Linked DNA regions of Drosophila melanogaster. Changing the gene in region 1 together with any one later gene gives a genetic interaction. Each region holds a gene or a part of one and is shown on either strand. Other genes may lie near its edges.

Region 1 (4,652 bases):
TCGTTGTTTTTGATATTGCTATCGCGTTCACATTGGCGTTGGCCGCCGTTGTCGGTGTTAACTGTGTGGACGAGGGGCTCAGTTCCCCCTCCTGCGAACTGAGGCTATCCGGTTGAGCGGCCACCGTGCCGTCGCTCTCTTTGGTGACAATCTGCGAGCAGTTCAAGGATCAAGAGTTAGCAATGTGTGGCAAAGGAAAATAACGCAAAAGTGATGTTATCCGTATAGGGTAATGATTGCATTTAGTGCCAAACAATATCGAATTTAAATTAGGTTTTAAAGACGGGCAGAGTAAAAGAACGCTTTCCTCAATAGATAAAAACACCAATTGACTCTTTTACAATTGTGTATTGACCCAATAAAGCTGTCTCACCTGTTGATTAACAAACGTGTATTCCAGGGCCTTGTCCGCCCCCGTATAGTCCTTGACGATCTCGTGCATAACGCCCACTATGTACTGCATCGACGGGCGATCCTCGGGCACCGTTTTCCAGCAGGCGGTCATCAGGTCCTCGATGCGCTTGGGGCAAGTGGTCAGCAGCGGCGGGCGTTCACCTGCGAGGAGCACAGATCTCGATAAGCTCGATGGAAAAAGAGTGAATTGGAGGACGCACCCTTGTAGATCTTCCACTGGATGGTGTAGGCATTGTCGATGCCTTTAAAGGGCTGCTTCCTGGACAGAACCTCCCATAGAACAATGGCCCAGCTAAAAATGTCACACTTCTCCGTATACTTGGAGCCTTCGAAGACCTCGGGCGCCATCCAAGCGGCACTGCCGCGATTGTTGGTCATCATGGTCGACTTGTCCGCCACCGTGCCGAAGTCGCATATCTTCAGATTGCGTCCCTTGTTGGTCAAGAGCAGGTTCAGCGGCTTCACGTCGCGATGTATTAGTGGTTTTGGCGTCATGGCATGCAAATATGCCAGACCCTAGAGAGGAAAACAAATGGAAATGTAATTAGGGCTAAACTTTAAACAAATTACTATTATTTTAATTCTGGTTATGCGGAATAGCTATTGAAATTGTTTAAGTAATCATGCAAGCAATGTGAATTACCACAATCCATTTGAGTCATTATTTCACCAGATAATTTCAACGAATTGGATGGAAAGCGCTACGGGGTTGAGCCCTACGTTATAACCGCCCCGCCCCTCGACGACGACCTACCTCTGCACATTGGCGCGCCCAGCTCATGGCGTGGGCCAGAGAATATGCCGGCTTCACCTTGCCGTGAAGGAAGTTGTGCAGCGATCCACCTTCGGCGAACTCCATTATCAGGTAGGTGGCCTGCTGGTACGAGGATATCCCGTGCAGAGCGATGATGTTCGGGTGCTTCACGCGCGACAACTGCTTCACCTCCTTCTCGATGTCCTTCTGCTCGGCGCTGGCGAAGAACTCCTTGACGGCAACCAGCTTGTCGCGCCAAACGGCCTTGCAGACCACTCCGTAGGACCCATGGCCGACTTTCTGCGGGGAAAAAGATTATTAGATCTGATTCAACAGTTGTACCCTCCTTGTGCAAAACTCCTCAATACTAATTACGTTATACACCTTGGTCTAACACAGTTTGAATTGACTTCAAGTAGAACACACGAACGCATTGTGATGGGTAAATTTGAAATTCGTTTCTTATCAAACTGATAAGATCGTATCGTTAATAAATATGCTGATATTTGTATACAGTCTGTAGTTTGTTTTAATAAGTTTGAAACGAAATCCTAAAACGAATGTAAGCATTTAGGAATGCGTAAGTTTAAAATATAAAACCTTTCTTGGGTTTTTTAACAGAGCTGTTACAAAGCATACACTTTTAAAACGAAAAAATAACCGTTTATAGATTAAAACATGCTTTTTGAAAGTGCGATAATCGTCTGACTAACTAAGAATGAGTACTTGCTCTGCCCTAAATGGTATATGATTACTGGTTGTTTATCGTTTCAAGATTGCGTATACGTATACACCAATAGGAGCTCTAGACTTTGGGTATATTCCGTTTGGTATGCACACCTCTCTTAGTGTTATCTCACTGAAGTCCACATAGGCTGCCTGCAGTGCGTCCAGCGATGCTGTGGCCATCTCCGTGGAACGCTAAGTATCCTGGTGTTCTCTACTTGCTTTTCAGATGCAGCTTTTGTTTGTCAGTGTTTTGGCTTACAAATGAGTACTAGTTTACCAGTTGCAGTTGCATTTGGCGCCGCTGATTACCAGATTTAAAGTTCTCTTCAACTGTCCAAGTATGCCACCGATTCCTTGCCTTAAGGCTCTCTTCTATGGTGTCCAGGTGGTGCGCTATTTTGGTAGAATTACCGGGATTTCGCCTTTTTAGTGGCTACGATTCCGTGGGTTCCCGATTTCATTGCTGGCTAACTGTGCCTTTGGTTCCCTCTTGGGGACAGAGTTTTCGGAATCTTTGCAAGATCTAGACCTGGATTCATCATAAAGTTTCTTGCCTTTGTATAGATTGCGACTGACAACTTTTACCACGTCATTTTGCTAAGATATGGTGTGTTTCGCAGTTCCCAGGAGACTTCAGATGTTATCTAGATTCCTCAGCTGCAGGTTCCTGGACAAAGTGGTGCGTGATGCCAACCCTAGTGGATCGGTTTCCGTGCTCAGCCGATTTCCCAGACACCGCGGTCTCCGTGTCCTTTGTAGTCTGCCTGGTTCCACCACTCGTGCTACCGGTAGACTTCTCCAGGCGAAGATGATTGCTGTGCAGGACTGGGACTGGAACTGTGGGGTAGAATGAGCAGGCGGTTGACAGCAAGAAGGTGGCTAGAAGAGGGGGGCACGAGTTTATATCGACCAGCGGAGAGGGCCCAGTGCGCACATCACATCCTGGCCGGGATTCCTCCGGATTCCGGGCTCAATGCTTGAACAGATGGCGTCTGCATCGGACGCTGCCTTGGCGGGTTCTTGCGTTCTTCGCTGTAGATATACGCCGTACTTTTCAAGTACAAACTTGTTTTTTTTTTAATAATTTAACAAGACCGTCATCGATACATTAGTGCCAGATATCGGGCGCAAGGTACGTCGATATTTTTGCCTAGCACAGTGTGGACTCGCCGATAACGATAACATTGGTATTTGTATTTTTAATTCCAGCGACATCAATGGATCTATCCACTTAAAAGATACTTATTATTTGTGTGACATATTTTCAAAAATTAGGCATCAATTTAATTTTTACACCCGAGATACCAATACTCCCAATAAAAATAGTGATGCCATCTCGTCAGAGGAGCTGTGTCGCCCTCTGGCGCTTTGCATGCGTCTCGGGGTACCTATTACCTCCGATAGATGGCGCCAGTACATCCCATTTCGAGAGTTTTCAATCGTTGTTGTATTTTTAAAACGATAAGATAGATCTATTTAATTCTCTCTACCCGCCCATTTCCTCTGGCAACTCCAGTTGTTGTTAAGACATTTTGTAGTAAAAATCCACACGAATTTCAAAAATCCACCAACAAGTGCGAAGATGTACTTATATTGTGTAACGGCTTGTCACCTTTCTCAATGCATCATAAAAGTCCATCCTGTTTGCCCAGCTTTTTGTTCGTAATAATACACGGAATACACGCGTCTATAAGCTTTTCGACCTTGCTCTCTAGGTGTGGAATCCAAAACTGCTGTTGTATAGAATGTACGGTTTGTTCTGGTTTGCATAATGTCCGAATCCATGAGCTTCGTTTATAATCTTACGTTCGATTATTTTAGGTACAATAAGCAAATCATTTCCTTTGACAAACATGAATAAAACTCCTCCCTTCAGTTTAAGGTCATTGTAAGGTCGTTCTTCCAATATCGTGCGTATGAAATGACATTTCTTTCACTTTATACGTAAGCCGAACTTCGCTGATTCTAATAGCACCAACTTTAGTTTCTTAATACATTCGTCATTCGTCTGTCCATATATTATAATATCATCCATATAGAGTTGTAGAATGTCTCGGGAATATGTGGTTTATAAATCTTATAAATGCCGCAGTAGAATTGCAGGAAATCGACACAGGGAAGCAATCCTTGAGAACCATGCTGTTTAATTGGCGATAGTCCTATACAGATTCTGTAAGTGCCGTACTTTTTTCTTCACTACGACAGTTCTACTGGCGAAGCTTGAAGTAGATGGTCAATCGATTTCTTCTTTTAACCAGTCATCGACTTGTTTTTTAACGGCTTTGGCTTTAACTGGCGGATGTCGACTTGGTTGATGACGAAACGTCTTAATTTTCTCATCCGGCACAATTGGAGGTTGGATGATATTCGTCTATCAGCTTCCGTATCATAGGTGCAAATTGGGGAGGAGCATTCACATTACTTTCAGTGCAAACATAATCGTGAATACTTATCTGGTTAATGTTAGCTACCTCAGGCCAAGCTGATAACGACACAAAACGTAAACCCATTTACATCCAGTGTAAATTGAAACTTCGATAGAAAATCGTATCCAATGCACTTCCATCACCTTCCATTTTTTCATCCGCCACCACGATGAAGTTTTGAACAGTCTCCATATCGTCTATTTGAACATCTCCAGCGAAAACTCCCAGAGGCAACGTGGCCGCCTTGCCCAGGCCACGCAACAAAGAACGACATGGACTTAGCACAACATCTTTTTGCCTCATGTACACCGAGTACATCACAACCGTAA
Region 2 (5,837 bases), on another chromosome or scaffold:
GATTTTTGAAGAAGATGAAGAGGCGGAGGGTGCAGTGGTCTGGCCATGTGAGGGATGTTTAATTCCCACGGGCTCTTTTTACAATTTTTAATTAGCTTAGCTTCGAACTCTTTTACCACCATATAATAAGAACTTTACGGGACTTTTCTTTAATTTTCCACACAGATATATAAATTTATGATGCCCCATAATGCAACATGATGTCTCGTCGGTATGTCAACGATTAAGCTATGATTCATATTCATAATCCTCTCCATCCGACTTGGGTCATTGGACATGATCCAGATCATTTAAGAGTAATCCCTGATCGAACCCTGAGCGAATAGACTTACCCACAAACTGGTATTGGATTTCTTAAGGTCCTCTCAAGTGTACCTGGGAAACCCAGTGCATTGCAGCATGGACATTTTGTATAAGTTGATAGTCCTCAGCCCATACTCTACAATGCTCCACAGCACAATCTGTCTACGCGACTTTGGGTCCGACGCGTCGAACTCGCCTGTCTCTGTTATGACAGAAGCTCAGCGCTACGAAACGAGCCATAAAATCTTTTCAAATAAAAAGTTTTTGGTTTTGCACATGATTTATTTTTATAAAATTGTATACGTTTAATCATTAATATTACAAGTAATTAATTAATATCAAATATGCAATTAGTTATCATTTAATTTCACATTATTTATATTACTGCGCTGTGTATGTGTTCATAATTGTTTATTGCTGCCGATCGATTCTCATCGATAGACTACCTTTAATTGGTGATATCTCGCAAATCTGCAAATCTTCGTTAATGTTTTAATATTAGGTGTAACGTTTTATTGACAAAGTCATGTGGTGTGCGGCAAAGAACAAAATAAATAGAGTACGAACTAACCAAATGAAATGTGTGTGAAGATTAAGAAGAATATAATAAGCACCCTCGATCTGTGCGATACTACCACATTATATTATATAAAGTTAGGACCGGGTAGGGGGAGGTGCGGGGCGGATTGGGCTGTTTTACACTTTTGGGTCATTGTGCGTCTGGACCTCCTCCGTCGTATTCCCAACGTAATGGCAAAAGGGTTTCTGAATCGATCGAAAGTACATACAAGCAATGAGCAAAACAAGGACAGGTAAACTAATCATATGCATACATAGTACATACAATATATTTGTTTTACAATTAATAATTTACAAATCGACAACCATGGCTGCTAGAGAAAATCATAATTCCGTAAATACTAAAACCTCTTCGAGAAGGACGCGGGCGGGTTGGATTGGCTGCTCTTCGATTTTCGCTATCGCTGGATCGTTTTATCTTTAAACTTGAGTTATATACGTATATATGTATACATATTATCATGCCTAGGTATATTTCGTACACGCTGTCGTCATATACTTTATTTAATAACTGTTTCATAATGCAATTTGTGTTCTATTCCATTATCGCGCTTATTCGGTTAAAGGGAGCCGGCTGCTGATTGATGTTTAAGGTTGATTTAGATGTCAGTTAATGTCCGCTTGTCGGGGTCCCGCTTGTACTCGAACCTAACAGGAGTTAAGAAAACTACTACCTCGTAGTTACCACCATAAACCACTACCGTGTAGTCGTTGCCACCATGCCGCTTCAGTGCCGAGCGCACGTTGCCACGTCAAAGCAGACTGCACCTGGACAACCAACTGTCCTTCGTCCGACTGTCCATCGGTTTCAGCTGATGGCCGCCCTTGGGTGGGTTGTTCGCCTCCTGCGCACACAAAGGATGTAAATGGTTAGCCACAGTAAAAAAAACGCTTTGTCCGAGTCTCGCCACCCGCACACTCACCATTCGCTTTTCCGTTTTCGCTTTGATATCACTGGCTAGGGTGAGGAAGGCTTCTTCCACGTTAATGCTGGCCTTCGCGGAGGTCTCCATGAACTTGATGCCATACTCGATGGCCAATTGTTCGCCGCGCTCTTTTGAAACCTACAACGGGTGGAAAATTGTTTAATTATCGGCCTTAAGGGCAGATAGCTTTATGAAGCTGAAAAGAATATTGCGCCAAATCATTGTCTATCCCTTATTGGATTTAATAACAAATGATTATACACTAACTGAATTTGAAATATATAAATAAAATGTTTGTAGATAACTTTTATGGAACAAACAAATAAACGAACTTGGAGGAATAGCCAGCGAAATCACCAATTTCTTTTTTCCATACCTGTCGCTTATCGGTCAATTCGCACTTGTTTCCCAGCAGCATTTTCTCGACATCGGCGGACGCATTTTCCTCGATATTCCTGATCCAGTTTTTGATGTTCTCGAAGGACTTTTCTTGGGTTATGTCATATACCAGCATGATGCCCATGGCACCTCTGTAATAGGCCGTGGTGATTGTGCGAAAACGCTCCTGGCCGGCAGTGTCCCTGGAAAATGAATGGAGATATAGGTAATTAGAGAATACAGATGAATCGCCTAGTACTTACCATATCTGCAGCTTAATCTTCTTGTTATCTAATTCAATTGTTCTAATTTTAAAATCGATACCTGAAAAGAGAAAACAGATGAGCATATACACACATGTACGTTTGCTAATTAATTTAAATAATTTGGCAAGAGGCTAAACCTGTTTGGTCGGAACCCATGACATCGCAGCTAAAATAAGAGACGAAGAGAACCGAAATCCACAAACCACGCAATTAATTTAAACAATGTCGTTAAGTAAATGCCCCAAAATTGGAAGTGTCGCGATGAAAACGTGCCAAAAACGAAAATAAACAATTATTAGCCACGAGCAGAAATGGGAATCGCTCTACTTTTGTGTTTACAAGTACGGGAAAGTACAGTGTGCATGTCGAATATTATTGTGATTATTATTTTAATAAGCTTAAAATTACTAGCATAATCTGATTTAACTGCCACTTGAAGTTGTACTGATTATGATTCGAATTTATTAAAAAGTATTTGCTGTGTTTGGTAGAAAGGCTTCACTGTACTCGTACGGGAACAACTACTTGAATTCCCTCTGAGACTGGGCATGGGCCTGCTGGGTATATAATAGGGCATTCCCGATTTGGCGTGCGACGGTCAAGTCTCGCATCGGAACAATCCGGCTTCTGGGGCGATAAGAGCAGCGAAAGTACAAAGACTATGGGTACTCGGACTGAGTACTCATTTCTGATCGCTTTCCTATGCGGGTGTGAATCTCAGGGCGAGATAAGGCATCCGGATATATTCCTTACGGGAAAATCTTAATAAGCGCGAGAAATCAAACATGGTGGGAGTGCCCCTCCCATGGAAACAACAATATTTATGACAAATGCGCCCGGATGGGGCAGGAAATAAAAAAGAAAAGAGGCATTTAATGAGTCACTGGGCCAGAAGCTCGGATTTCCAATTGCGAATGAGTTCATGCGAACGAAGGTGTTATAATTAATAACCAAAAAAAAAAAAAAATTAAGAATCGGAAGACACGGTAAACGCGGATGATGACACTCACCTATTGTGGATATAAACGTTGTGTTGAAGGCGTCCTCAGAGAATCGGAAGAGGATGCAGGTCTTGCCCACTCCGGAGTCACCGATCAGGAGCAGTTTGAACAGATAGTCGTAGGTTTTGGCCATTTTGTGTGCTTTTGCGGTAGGATCACAGTATCTGGCCCGATAATAGTGCTTAGCTGGGGGTTAGGGTACGGGTTAAGGGTGATGATGCTCTGTACACGTCGTCGTCTCCTTAATCAACTGACTGACTTCCTCTCCGATTCTTGGCTAATAACACTAATCACGATTATGCCCCATGCGTGCCGTTTAGCGTATGTATGTACATATACACTATACCCAGACGTAACCGCACTAATCCACAATCTAATTGAATCGACTCGAATCGAAAACGTATAGTTTTTTCCTTCTCTCCGCAGCGCAGCTCTTTTTCTCTTGGGTGTGTGTGTTGTGTTTTCGATTTCGGAGCCGTGTCAAAAATGGCGACGTAGATTTAAGACCTTTTTGTTGTCTGTGCCCGAGTTTCGGATTTCGTGCGGCGGCTTTTCCGGTGGGCAAATGCAAAGGCGCTCGCTACGCGGTGCGAGTCTACGTTGGTTTGTTGTGAAAATTACGTGGAAATGAAGTTAATTACTGCTTTCTAATTACGCCCGTACAAAAAATATGAGTTTCGATAATTCGTTGCTGCGCAACACTGGCGCGCCGTCGTCTATCGATAGCTTATCGTACGATGGGGAAAACAGCTGTTTCCAGTTAGTGTTGGAAAGTGCGCGAATATAGAAAGAAACAGAGGAAAATAGCACAAGACAAGAGTCAAAAAGACAGGTGTATATTATATATTCATACACATATATCGTCGTGATCCTGCACCTGATCCTCGCCAGCAGCCTATTGTTCCGCCCGCGACTGTGAAGTGAAGTTGAACAAATGTGAAAAGTGGCGTCGCCAGACGCAGCAGCAGGCGGAGCCCCAGAATCCATTGAGTTGCACCCCCGCAAACAAGAAATTCTGGACCATGGGCACCAAGGAGTCCAAGCACTCCAATAGCGTCAGCTACGAGGATTCGGTGAAACGCGGTGAGTCTCCTCCGGCTGGTTACTTGTGGGGCCGTCTCCCAGCCGCAGAAAATAGGTCACTGCCAATCAAGAAAACAGAACCCCCTGCGAAAGCAACAACAACGTACAAGCAGGTGCAATCGATTCCATTGTGTTGTTGCGCCCACGTCTTCTGACCAACGGGAATCACCACTGACTTCCGCCACCACCATCCTCATGCTCCTCTTAATCCTATCTCTTGCAATTATCTACTGCCATTCCAGTGTGGCTTCTTTATTGCATGTGTTTTCATGTGCATGGGTATTTGCGTCTCCGCCGCCAATGACGTCACAATAGAAAAGCTAACCGAATGGGGTGGCAGTTGGAGGTGTGCGCTGTGTGGGTGAGAGACAACAAAGCAGCGAAGGCACATGAGAAACAGTTAGACAGCCAGTGGAGTGCAGTTCACGCTTAGGGTGACTGGAATGCGCGGATGCGGATGTCGCTGCGAATACGATTCATTTCAAGTTCAGCATGTCATTCCAGTGTTCATTTCAATTCGCACTCTATGGGCAAAGGTCTTCTGTTGAAGTATTTTATAAAGAAGCCTACTTTAAAATTTTTTTGTTTATAATGAAATGAAATTATAATGAAAGGGGAGCATTTTGGATTTCGATTTTCCAATTGGAATATCCATAAGAAAAATGTTTTAAAATAAATAATTCATTGGGCTTTTAATTCTGCATGTCATTTCCTTATTTCTTAAAATTCCTCTTTAAGTGGAATATGTTCAGATAGGAAAAGGAATTACTGTGTTTAAAACAAGCTGATAAGCCAAAAAAATAGAAATTTATTTACAAAGTATGAAAATCGGAATGTTCACTCTTCTCCAAATATTTTATAATAATGAACCAGCAATAAAATTGGTAATCATTCAGAAGAGTTAAGATTATTTAAGCCAACTTGTATACCCATTTTCGGCCCACTTTCAATGACGTTTAGCTTCCCTTAGTGCTTTTCACTTACTTTATTCCGCCTTCCCTTTGCGCTGGCAATCATCTAAATGCTGGTGTTGTTATGGTTATGGTTGCTGATTTGTGGCCAGGCGGCCCAGCCAGAGTTAAGAAAACGAGTGTCGCTGATAAGGCTCACTCCCCCGGAACACCAGCACTCCGGACCACCCCTCCACCACCCACCATCACTGGTGTGGGGCGTGCGACCGGGTGCGTGTGTTTCTTATTAGCCACTCCAACCGGTTCCAGTAAAACCAAGGGGGAAGTGAGGACTAGCATGCAAGTATGTGCGCGGTGGTCAATAATCGCAGACTCGAGTTGCAGTTAACA
Region 3 (4,068 bases), on another chromosome or scaffold:
CCGGACATCATTGAGCTGGATCACTTGACCGTGAGCGGAGATGTGACTTTCGGTCGTGGCGTTTCTTTGCGCGTAAGTTTGAATAATATTGAATGGTATTTTAAATACGCTAATAACATGTCTTAACTTGATTCTGCAGGGCACTGTGATCATCATTGCTAACCATGGCGATCGTATCGATATCCCAGCTGGAGCCATTCTGGAGAACAAGATTGTATCTGGCAATATGCGCATCTTGGACCACTAAATCAAATCCTGTACAATTGGATATCGTCTCACTAACTGTAGTCTAATTGTCTAAGTTTTATGTAGTAGCCATGTTCGCGTTTCAAATTTCCAATAACGAATTTCATTTAGCCAATTGTTGTAAGCACAAAGTGTGTCATCTGTATATATCGTTAAGTAGAAATCAGTCAGGGTTTTTAATCAAAATCGAATTGCAATATGTTTTCAAAAATGTTAGTTGTAGTCGTTCAAATGAGATATAAAAGATAGCAGCTGTTGAAACTCAATAAAGGCATGTTTATTTCTATAAATACGAAGGAGATTGTCACCTATTGGATGTGAGATATTTGTGATGCTTAACATTAGGTCTTAAATTAATATCACTTTGAAAAATGGCACAGGAATGGCACTAGCCAAGTTTCATTCCCCTTGCTTTCAGTTTTCTATGACTTTTCTAAATCGTCAATTAGACTATAGTTCTTGCTTATATGACCAAGTTTTATGCCCTGTTTGATTAGTTCTAATGCTATCTTTTTATTGCTACTCGATGGACCAATAAAGGCCACGACTAGTTCATCTGCATCTTTTGGAGGTTCACAGCTGTGATCCCAACCTCTGGCCTCGTAGATGTTTTCGTCCCCAGCCGCAACGAAATTATAGTTAATATCCTTATATCCATTGCTCTCGATGTGCCAATTTTGCAGAAGGCGCACTCGAAAAGTGCACTCGGCTTGAGTGAAACATGATGGCGTGTTGGTTGCCACAAATCTCACGCTCTCAATTGGCAGCTTCAAAGGAGTAAGTGGCACTATAGGTGGCTGGGCCAACCAATAGGGTCGGGTAACGATCTTTACAGTCTCATTGCTTAGGAGTCGCACTGAAAATAAATTTTGAAAATAAATATATTCTCGTATTTTTTTCTTTCAACTGCATTACATGATGTTGGATCCTGCGTGAATCGGGGCCAATTTTGCATCAGCTCGAAAAGCTTCTGGCCAGGACTTTCGGTGGGGCTTAATTGTCGATGGGCATATATATGATAATCCGGTTGCAATCTATGGAGACGTACGCCCTCGTCCATCAGTCGCTTGGCTGCTTCGATTTGTCGAGCTGGTGGCTCCATATTCACAAAAGTTCCGATAAAGGCTATGCTAACGGAGATGGCACCATATCCATTCACATGCTGACCCTGGATGTGCCAGCCGCGTCCTACGTATATTTGACCATCGCCGCCCACCAAAAAGTTATAGCCAATGTCGACCCAACCAAAAGATTTCATATGGAACGCCTGAATGGTCTTCATGCGGTATATGCAAACATCCTGGGCGAGATAGAAATAAGATTTATGCATAAGTAAACAGTCTTTTAACCGCTAACTTTTAGAAAAGTTTAATTAACTCGAAATAGTGCTGAAGAATGGGGGTTTTTTACCGAAAAGTATGTCGATCTATAGACTCAAAGCGGGGGTTTTTTTTTATGGCAAGCTATTGAATTATAATATCGGTTTTACGAGGCTTTCTAGGAAAAGTTTTGGGTTGATTATTTATATAAATTTTTGTAGATAAGAAAAGAACAACTGGTTACAATAAAGCCTTTTCATGAATCCTAAGTAATTGCCGCAGTAAGCTAAGTAAAACAAACTGGTTTCAAGTTAGCTTTAAAGCAATTCTATATCACTTTGATATTAACAATTTAAAATTCCCAAAGTAAGACTTACCTCTTGTTCGCATCCTTCGGTTGCCGTGTGATGAATGATAATATTGGAGACGGGAAGCTTAAGGTGCGGGTACTTCCCACTGGGTGGTTCCCCCAGCCATTCGCTGCGATCGAGTATGTGTAGGCCCTTGTTCGGCGAATGTGTGGAGAAGGCTAAACCAGGTTAACAATTGGTTATTGGTTATTAAATTGTATTCAATCTACGATTCGCTTTAATGACTCACACATCATCCACATGAAATAGCCAGCTGCTAAACCCACAACCATTAGAAGAATCACACAGAAATAGAGAAGCTCGAAGCGAAATCTTTTCTCGTTATTTATCGGTTTTCCTGGGTGAGTAACTACCACTGTTTTCGGCATCTTGAGATGTTTTCACTATATCGCACTACCCACAACCGCGATCGATCCTCGCACGACGAACGTCCGATGCCAACTGAAGTGAGTACGCACCCGATCTCAAGTCCGGTTGTTGTTTATTTCTGTTGACGGCTCCGAAAAATCCCCGGACATTTGAAAACCTAAAGCGACTGCGCAGTTCATAAGCTTGTTGATAAGAGATATTCATACCTATAAATAAATATATGTATGTATAACTAAAGAAAGCTTTTTAAAGCTTAATATAGGGTGCCATTTTTGCAACAGGGTGCGCGATCTCTGAACGCCGCCCACTTGAGATTAGAAAGAGATATTTGATGGTAGTGAGCAGTCCAAGAAATGGGAATCCCATTTTGTCAAGGGGGCGTATACTTACTCTTAGCGTTTTTGAAAGAAGCTAGCTCATCTTTGGACCGAAGTTATGATGTTTTCCGGTTTCTTGGAATGAGTGACCGACTACAGTTAGCGGCTGCGATTTGATCAACTGACCCAAAAAGAGTTCTTCACGATTATTATTCTGTTTTTATTTTGTCATAAATAGAACGCAGATAGATCGTGATAAGTAGAAAAAGAAAGCGAATTTAGCAAACATTTCTTTAACAGACAAACTAAAACTTAGGTAAAATGGAGCCTATACAACCTCCGGATAAAATATTTGCCAGATATAAGATATCCCAGCCAAACTGAACTCCAGACCAACTAACCTCCGGATAGTAAATGTCTGGTAAAACAAAACCCAGCCACAAAAACCCCCAGGCAAACTTACCTCCTGCTATAATAACCACTAGACGATCTAACCTTCAGATGAAATAACCCCAAGCCAAACTAACCTCGGGTTAAATGAACCTCCAGGTAATACACTCCCCCAGTCAAACCCCCTAACAAACGAGCCTCCGGATAAAATAACCCCCGATAAAGTAACGCCCAGGAAAGCTAAGCCCCTGGCAAACTAACCTCTGGATAAAACAACCCCAGGCAACCTAACCTCCGGATAAAAACGGATAAAATGATTCCCGGATAAATAAACCTCCGGATAAAACAACCGCAGGCAAACTAACGTCCGGATAAAACAACCTCCAGGCAAACTAACCTCCGTATAAAATAATAATTATAATATAATAATATAATAATTTTAAGATAGTCGCGAAAGAAATTAAAAATTCCAATAATCGGGGAAGCCCCATAACTCGCAGGTGGAAGAATGCGTAGAAAAGCCAAGCCATATTACAACTTTTCCGGTTTCAGGCAGTTCCAGACAGCACCTCTACAGAAATTCCCCGATTCCAGTTATCAGCTAGTTCTTGATCCCCATACATGATTGAAATTCATCAAGTAAATCATTTTGTTTTATTTAATATCACATTTTCTTTTTAAACGAATCGTTACTCTAGCTAAATCGAATATGCCACACATTAATGGGAGAACACCTATGATACAAAATCAATACGAAAATAAATGATAGTATTGCAAAATATCGAAATAGCTCTTAACCTATTCACGACCAATGAGTCCAGTTGGCGAAGCTTGCGTAGAGCGCATCCGCCTTAAAATCGGTTACACTTGGCATCAATTTACTGCTCGCCGTAAATCGGTAGCTTGGTGCAATCTTGCCCAGCTTTACGCCACGCTCCAGCAAAAGACGAGTAACACTTAGTTGCTTGGCCGACGGCTGGATGGTCTTAAACGATCCGATATAGGCGAAGCTAAGACTCTGCGAGTCATAGTTTATATTGTTCATGTGGGCACCCA
Region 4 (5,876 bases), 6.5 Mb from region 1:
GTATGTACATATGTACATAGATACATCTATTATTTCAATGACTTATTGTACGAAAACCAAGAGAATTTCATTATATTCTACCACTAAAGAAGTGGCTATACTAGTCTTTCTTTTTCGACTAAATCTTCACTTTGTAGCAGAACTTTAAAACGTCCTTCGATTTGAATGTCTTCTTACACTCTTCACCTCGTCTTCTCTATCAATTTCTTCTCCCCTTTCCCCCCTCACTTTCTATCACATTCCTTTGAAGATCAGCTGTAGCGGTTAGAATTTGGCCATATCGAGCGTAAAAATACATAGAGGAAGGCACTAAAAACAGCTGCAGCTCAAGAGCGAATAAAGGTCGCCCCCGTTCCGCCCTCTCTTGCTCTTTCATCCCCTCTCGCACCAACCCACACACTTTCACACACACACACACACACGTGCACTGCGTAGGGAAAAGCAGCGCAGTTGCAGCAGAAAAACAGATAAACAGCAAAGCAGAAAAGAGGCAGGTTGCTCTCTCTCGCTCTCACTTGTGGGCTGGACTACAGTCGTTGTTGTTGGTTTGGCCAGCCTAAAAACGGAGATCGCACGTGTGTGTGTGTGTTTGTGTGCGGTGTGTGTAATGCTTATGGCTGTCTTGCTGTTGTTGGTTTTGTTGCCCTTTTGCAGTTGGTGTTTGTTTTTATCTCACACTCGCACACACACATGCAACCGGCCTATGCAATCGAACGAATACGAATGGTAAATAGCATGTGTGTGTGCGAGCGAGAGGTTTCGCTTGTTTTTTTTTGTATTTTAGTTTTCTGCCTTCCGCCTTGTGGTTTTTGTTGTTGCTCATTTCGGCTTCTTGTGCGTCCATTGGGCATTGCATTCGAGGTGTGTGGGTGTGAGTGCAAGTGCGCAGTTGTGTGTGTGTGTTCGGACAGCCTCTCTTTTTAAAAACGCATAAATGTTGATTACAGTAAATTGACAATTTGTTGTTGTTGCTATCTCGCTTTTTGGGTTTATGTTTTTGCACGTGTCTGATTGGAATCCTGTACCGGCTCCTTTTAGACTTGTTAAATAACGAAACCTATGTACAATCATTTTTTTAATCATTAATTTGCTATCGAATAATACTAAAGAAATAAAATTTATTTTAATTTGCATGCAATTTTTTTTTATTATAAGTCTTATTGTGATAAAAGTTTTTGGGAAACACATGGTTATGATGTTAAAAAGAACATAAAACCATATTAATAAGTGCTAATATGCAGTTCAAATATCGCTTTATAAAGTGCTGACATAAATGACCAAATTTCTCGAGAATTTTAGATGTATTTACCTTAGGTATGAAGTTAGGTTACATCTGATGAATATTAAAAATGCAAAGCATTGGTTTTAAGCAACGAAAACAAAGATCAAAGTCGTCGATTAAATAAATCCCGACTAAATTTATTGCTTATTCCCGGGAACTTACACTTTTTGTTACTTCTCTTTCGTGTTTCTTTCAACTGGATTTGTCCCGCCAATTTTCCAATCAAAATTTCTGACAGAAAAAAGCTAAGCGCTCCAAAACCTTGGGTTGTAGCGTGCCGAAGAGCTGATTGCTATGAAACACTGTCCTATTTGACAGCCGCTAAGCGCTAGAGTTGTCACCGAAAATGCGTTTTTACTAGTGCGAACAATAAAATTACCTGCGCAAAAATGGAAAAATGGGATAAAAAACAAGATGAGTAGCAAAGAAAATATTTAAAGATATATTTGTACTGAAATTAAACTGAGAAGGAGGTGCAAACGTGTTGCAAAAAAATTGAATTCACATCTAGGCACCCTAGCAACCCTGTCATTTTGACATTGCCGCTCACACGCACGCCACACAGACGCACGTTAGTCACAGCAACGCACACACACACTACCAAACGGCTACATTTTTTTTCGAGTGTGTTCGACATTCATAATTTTTGTGGTGGAGCTGCCTGCAAAATCGAATTTTATCAGTTTGCCAACGAAGTTATCGGCCATAACTGCAAATAAAGTTCAGCAATAACTTGGCGCTGTTACGATGTGAGTTTGTGTTTTATCGAAAGTTGCATACTTTATCTAAAAACCATTGTTTTTGTCCAAAAATGTTGTAAATGCCCGAAAAAATACCAAAGTGAGAACAACAACAACAACAGCAGCAAAAAAAAAGCAGGAGCAGCAGCAGCAGAAGAAGCAGAGGCAGCAGATAAAATTTAATATAATATCGAAGAAGAGCAAGAAAAAAGCCGTAAAAGTTGATAAATCGAATATATATGTGTGTGTGTGTGAAAAATAATAATTGCGGCGTTCGCACCAAGTATTCGCCGTTTTTTTCTATTAACTTAAATTCGCCAAAAAAGCGGCGTTTGCTTTTCTTCTTTTCTTGACTCGCCCTCTTTGTCTCACCCATCCGCATATTCTCTTTTCGCCTTTGTCTTTTTCGTGCGCGTTGTCTGCATTTTGTCTGTGTGCGTGGGTGCGTGACTCGCTGTGTCTGTGTGTGTGCGTATGCAAGCGAAATTGTTGCTTGTAAAAAAGAAAAATCTTATTTGGTTTTTTTTTTGTAGTTTAATTGCCAACATTATTGATTTTTCAAGCGGTTCACCCCGTTTCTCCCCCTCCGCATTCCTCCTGTCCAATCTGCTTCTTCTTCCTCTGCGGAACTACGTGCATTTGTCACCCAAAAGGGAAATCAATAAGTTGGTAAAACAGCGAAACGCCGCACATTATGGTTAAATTATTGCTGTTTTCGCGTTAATAACGCAATTTCTTTTGTTTGCTTCGAGTGTTTTTCGTTGCTGTTGTTGTTGCTTTCGCAATACAATTTCTGGAAATTTTGGGGCATTCATTTATTGCCTTTTGTTTCTGGTTTATCTGCGTCTTTCTTTCCCCTTCTCCTCTTTATTTTACTTGATTTTCCGTGTGTCTGGGAAATGTAAACAGTTAAAGGAGCCGCAAGGTCACGCTAAAGGAGTTGGCAATAGTGGGTGGGCTTTGACTTACACAAGCAGAAATTTATTTTGAACTTCGCAAAAAGTGTAACGGAAATAAATCCAGAAAATATTGAAAATATTGGTTTACAATATAGTCTAGATATCCAGAATCAAGTTAATAACTTTGAATTCCGTTCATATACTTCAATATAAATATTATTAAGTACTACAATTTGAAAACATCTTTAAATATACAACATATTTTGAATTAGTTTATTTTTTTTTTTAGCCACATAGAGACATCTTTGTGGCATGCTAAATTCTGTAGTAAAACTTTCTTGGGGAAAGTGAAAGCCACGTATCAGACCAAAATCCACCCAACCCTGCACACACGCATCCCCATAAAGAACGACCTTGAGCTGCAAAAAGGAAAATTCTCTTTGACTTGCCACGCTCTTCCCCAAGAAAACCAAGTGAAACTCCAATTTACTAATGCTACTATTTCACCGATACATGTAGTTGAGCCCTTATTTAAATTAGTAATTAGTTTAATTTCACAGTTGAAACCACGACTGTAAACATTAGGGATACTAATTTATAGTCTTAATTAACGTTGAGTGGATAGTGGATGATACCGAGGAACTACTTAATTGGTTAACTTCACTCCGATCTCGTTTGCAGCTCAACGAGAAGGTCCAGACTCAACCCGCGTTTCCAGTTCACCGCGTAAAAGGAACCAGCTAAACGATGTCCAGCCTGCCACGTCGCATCATCAAGGAGACTCAACGTTTGATGCAGGAGCCAGTGCCTGGGATCAATGCCATTCCCGATGAGAACAATGCCCGTTACTTCCATGTGATCGTGACCGGACCGAACGATTCGCCCTTCGAGGGCGGCGTGTTCAAGCTGGAGCTGTTCCTACCGGAGGACTATCCAATGTCAGCGCCCAAAGTGCGCTTCATCACGAAGATCTACCATCCGAACATCGATCGTTTGGGCCGCATTTGCCTCGACGTGCTGAAGGACAAGTGGAGTCCAGCCCTGCAGATCCGGACCATATTGCTATCCATTCAGGCACTGCTCAGTGCACCCAATCCCGACGATCCGCTGGCCAACGATGTGGCTGAGTTGTGGAAGGTCAACGAGGCGGAGGCCATTCGCAATGCCCGCGAGTGGACCCAGAAATATGCCGTCGAAGACTGAACGCCCGAGGTCAGGAGGAAAGTCAGAAAGCGGATCCGTCAGTTGTATCGGCGTTTTTCCAGAAAGTGGGTGCGTGACATGAACGGGCGGGTGGGTAAATTGAATACTTTAAAAGCAACCAGAAAAACCTAAAACATACGAAAGAAAACATAAAATAAGAAAAAAGTAAGGAAGCAAACATAAAAAAAAACGATTTAAGAACACATTTTTTTTTCGAACCTTCTGGGGCGGGATATACATATAAAATATTAATATATATATTTTTTTCAACCAATCGATCGGGGCGATCGGCGAAATGGAGGAGAGATAGCGAAAGCATTCTTTATGTAAGACGTATACATGTATCCGAAACAAACTAAAAACGAAAAAAAAAAAAAAAAAAAAAAACAGTAATTGGTTTTAGTCGTTTCTATTGATTTGTTCGAGGGTTCTGGTGTCTATATACATATAGCCGTATATAATTCTATGTGTAACTGAAATAACCAACCCATAACCATTAACACATGTAGCATCAGATATGATAAATCAATTGGAAAGGCAAACAAGAAGGGATTTTGATTTCCTTTAACTCGTCATTTGAAAACTCGGCTTAAATGTCAATTCAAAATAGAGAATTTTGATTGTATCATTTTCAGTGTTTCAGAAAATTTAAGATGTGATCGTCCAACTTGTAGACTTTACTTTTCTTAACTAAGAGTTCACCATTTCGATTGATACTTGAGCTTTGCCTGGGTTGTGTCAGAGTCCCTTTGATAAACGATAAATAGTTTTTACTCGAAAACAATTTTTTTTAACCAAACAATGAAGCCTTTAAGCTATTAGTAATTTTTGAAAAAAAAAAAAATAAAAAATATATATATAAAAAATATACAAAAATATGATACATGATCAAAATACAATGAATGCATACACTATATATTTATACAAAAAAAATACAAAAAGAAAAACAAAAGTAGTGGCTTGATTGCGTGAAAATTTCAAGTGCAGTTCTCAACAAAAATTGTGTACAGTAATTAAATGTTTGTCACCGAAATCACTAAAGGATAATCCAAAAAACAATAGCAACCGAAAAGCAACCATAAATCAAAGAGTAAGCGAAAATAAAAATTCAGTTTTCTTTAATTTTAATTAATTTTTTTCTAAGAAAAATAAATAAAAACGAAAAATTCAAATAAAAATTATAAAAAATAAACCGAGTTGTGTTTTATTTAAATAGTTAAGTGGTAATATAACTGAATGGTAAGTTTATTAATTAATTTAAGTGTTAAAAAATTACTGAATTTATAGGATTTTGATTTGGATACTATTTATAAATAGTATCAGCCGATGCTGCCTTGTCGAAACAATGACATTTGATTTGTTTTTGGCCCAACTGACACATAAAATATCGTATGCATAACATATTATGAAATAAAAGAACTAATACTTATTATGCCAGCCGAACATAAAACGAATTTTCGAGTCTAGAGTTCCCATCTGGAAGGGCATGACAGAGTCCTGGCAGGCCTTTTAGCACGTGTCAAAAACTCAAAGAAGAAGACGATGACTTTGAAGTCTACAAATCATATTTCTCTGAACAAGTGAACTGGCAACATGTCGAGCTCGTAAGTAACTAGGTTTTTCCTATAGAAATTATAGCAAGTCACAGTAAAATCTTGTAGCCAGAACAACAACAGCAGCTGGATCGATTGGTTCCTCGGGATCAAGGGCAACCAGTTCCTCTGCCGCGTGCCCACCGACTACGTGCAGGAT

The links.
Region 2: of Tak1 (region 1) and Rab8, changing one suppresses a phenotype caused by changing the other (phenotypic suppression), as found in Drosophila melanogaster (one study listed by BioGRID).
Region 3: of Tak1 (region 1) and PGRP-LF, changing one suppresses a phenotype caused by changing the other (phenotypic suppression), as found in Drosophila melanogaster (one study listed by BioGRID).
Region 4: of Tak1 (region 1) and ben, changing one suppresses a phenotype caused by changing the other (phenotypic suppression), as found in Drosophila melanogaster (one study listed by BioGRID).

The regions. Positions count from the first base shown.
Region 1 is NC_004354.4:20,521,891-20,526,542, forward strand, and holds the start of Tak1 (TGF-beta activated kinase 1), read right to left. Parts: upstream 3,039-4,652; 5' UTR 2,078-3,038; coding exon 2,009-2,077; intron 1,469-2,008; coding exon 1,169-1,468; intron 931-1,168; coding exon 615-930; intron 556-614; coding exon 374-555; intron 152-373; coding exon 1-151. UniProt on the Drosophila melanogaster protein: Component of a protein kinase signal transduction cascade. Mediator of TGF-beta signal transduction. Responsible for activation of the JNK MAPK pathway (basket, bsk and hemipterous, hep) in response to LPS.
Region 2 is NT_037436.4:19,866,919-19,872,755, forward strand, and holds Rab8 (Rab8), read right to left. Parts: upstream 4,161-5,837; 5' UTR 3,587-4,160; coding exon 3,463-3,586; intron 2,641-3,462; exon of another isoform or gene 2,609-2,640; coding exon of another isoform or gene 2,590-2,608; intron 2,511-2,589; coding exon 2,450-2,510; intron 2,390-2,449; coding exon 2,185-2,389; intron 1,947-2,184; coding exon 1,806-1,946; intron 1,728-1,805; coding exon 1,635-1,727; 3' UTR 570-1,634; downstream 1-569. Other genes in the region: Usp32 (ubiquitin specific protease 32), read left to right, coding at 4,476-4,536.
Region 3 is NT_037436.4:9,347,922-9,351,989, reverse strand, and holds PGRP-LF (peptidoglycan recognition protein LF), read right to left. Parts: upstream 2,382-4,068; 5' UTR 2,305-2,381; coding exon 2,166-2,304; intron 2,095-2,165; coding exon 1,943-2,094; intron 1,547-1,942; coding exon 1,162-1,546; intron 1,124-1,161; exon of another isoform or gene 1,103-1,123; coding exon 669-1,102; 3' UTR 501-668; downstream 1-500. Other genes in the region: UGP (UDP-glucose pyrophosphorylase), read left to right, coding at 1-72, 140-247; PGRP-LC (peptidoglycan recognition protein LC), read right to left, coding at 3,815-4,068.
Region 4 is NC_004354.4:13,994,493-14,000,368, forward strand, and holds ben (bendless), read left to right. Parts: upstream 1-1,852; 5' UTR 1,853-2,031; intron 2,032-2,123; exon of another isoform or gene 2,124-2,305; intron 2,306-3,602; 5' UTR 3,603-3,668; coding exon 3,669-4,124; 3' UTR 4,125-5,313; downstream 5,314-5,876. Other genes in the region: Ste12DOR (stellate 12D orphon), read left to right, coding at 5,718-5,728, 5,786-5,876. UniProt on the Drosophila melanogaster protein: Catalyzes the covalent attachment of ubiquitin to other proteins.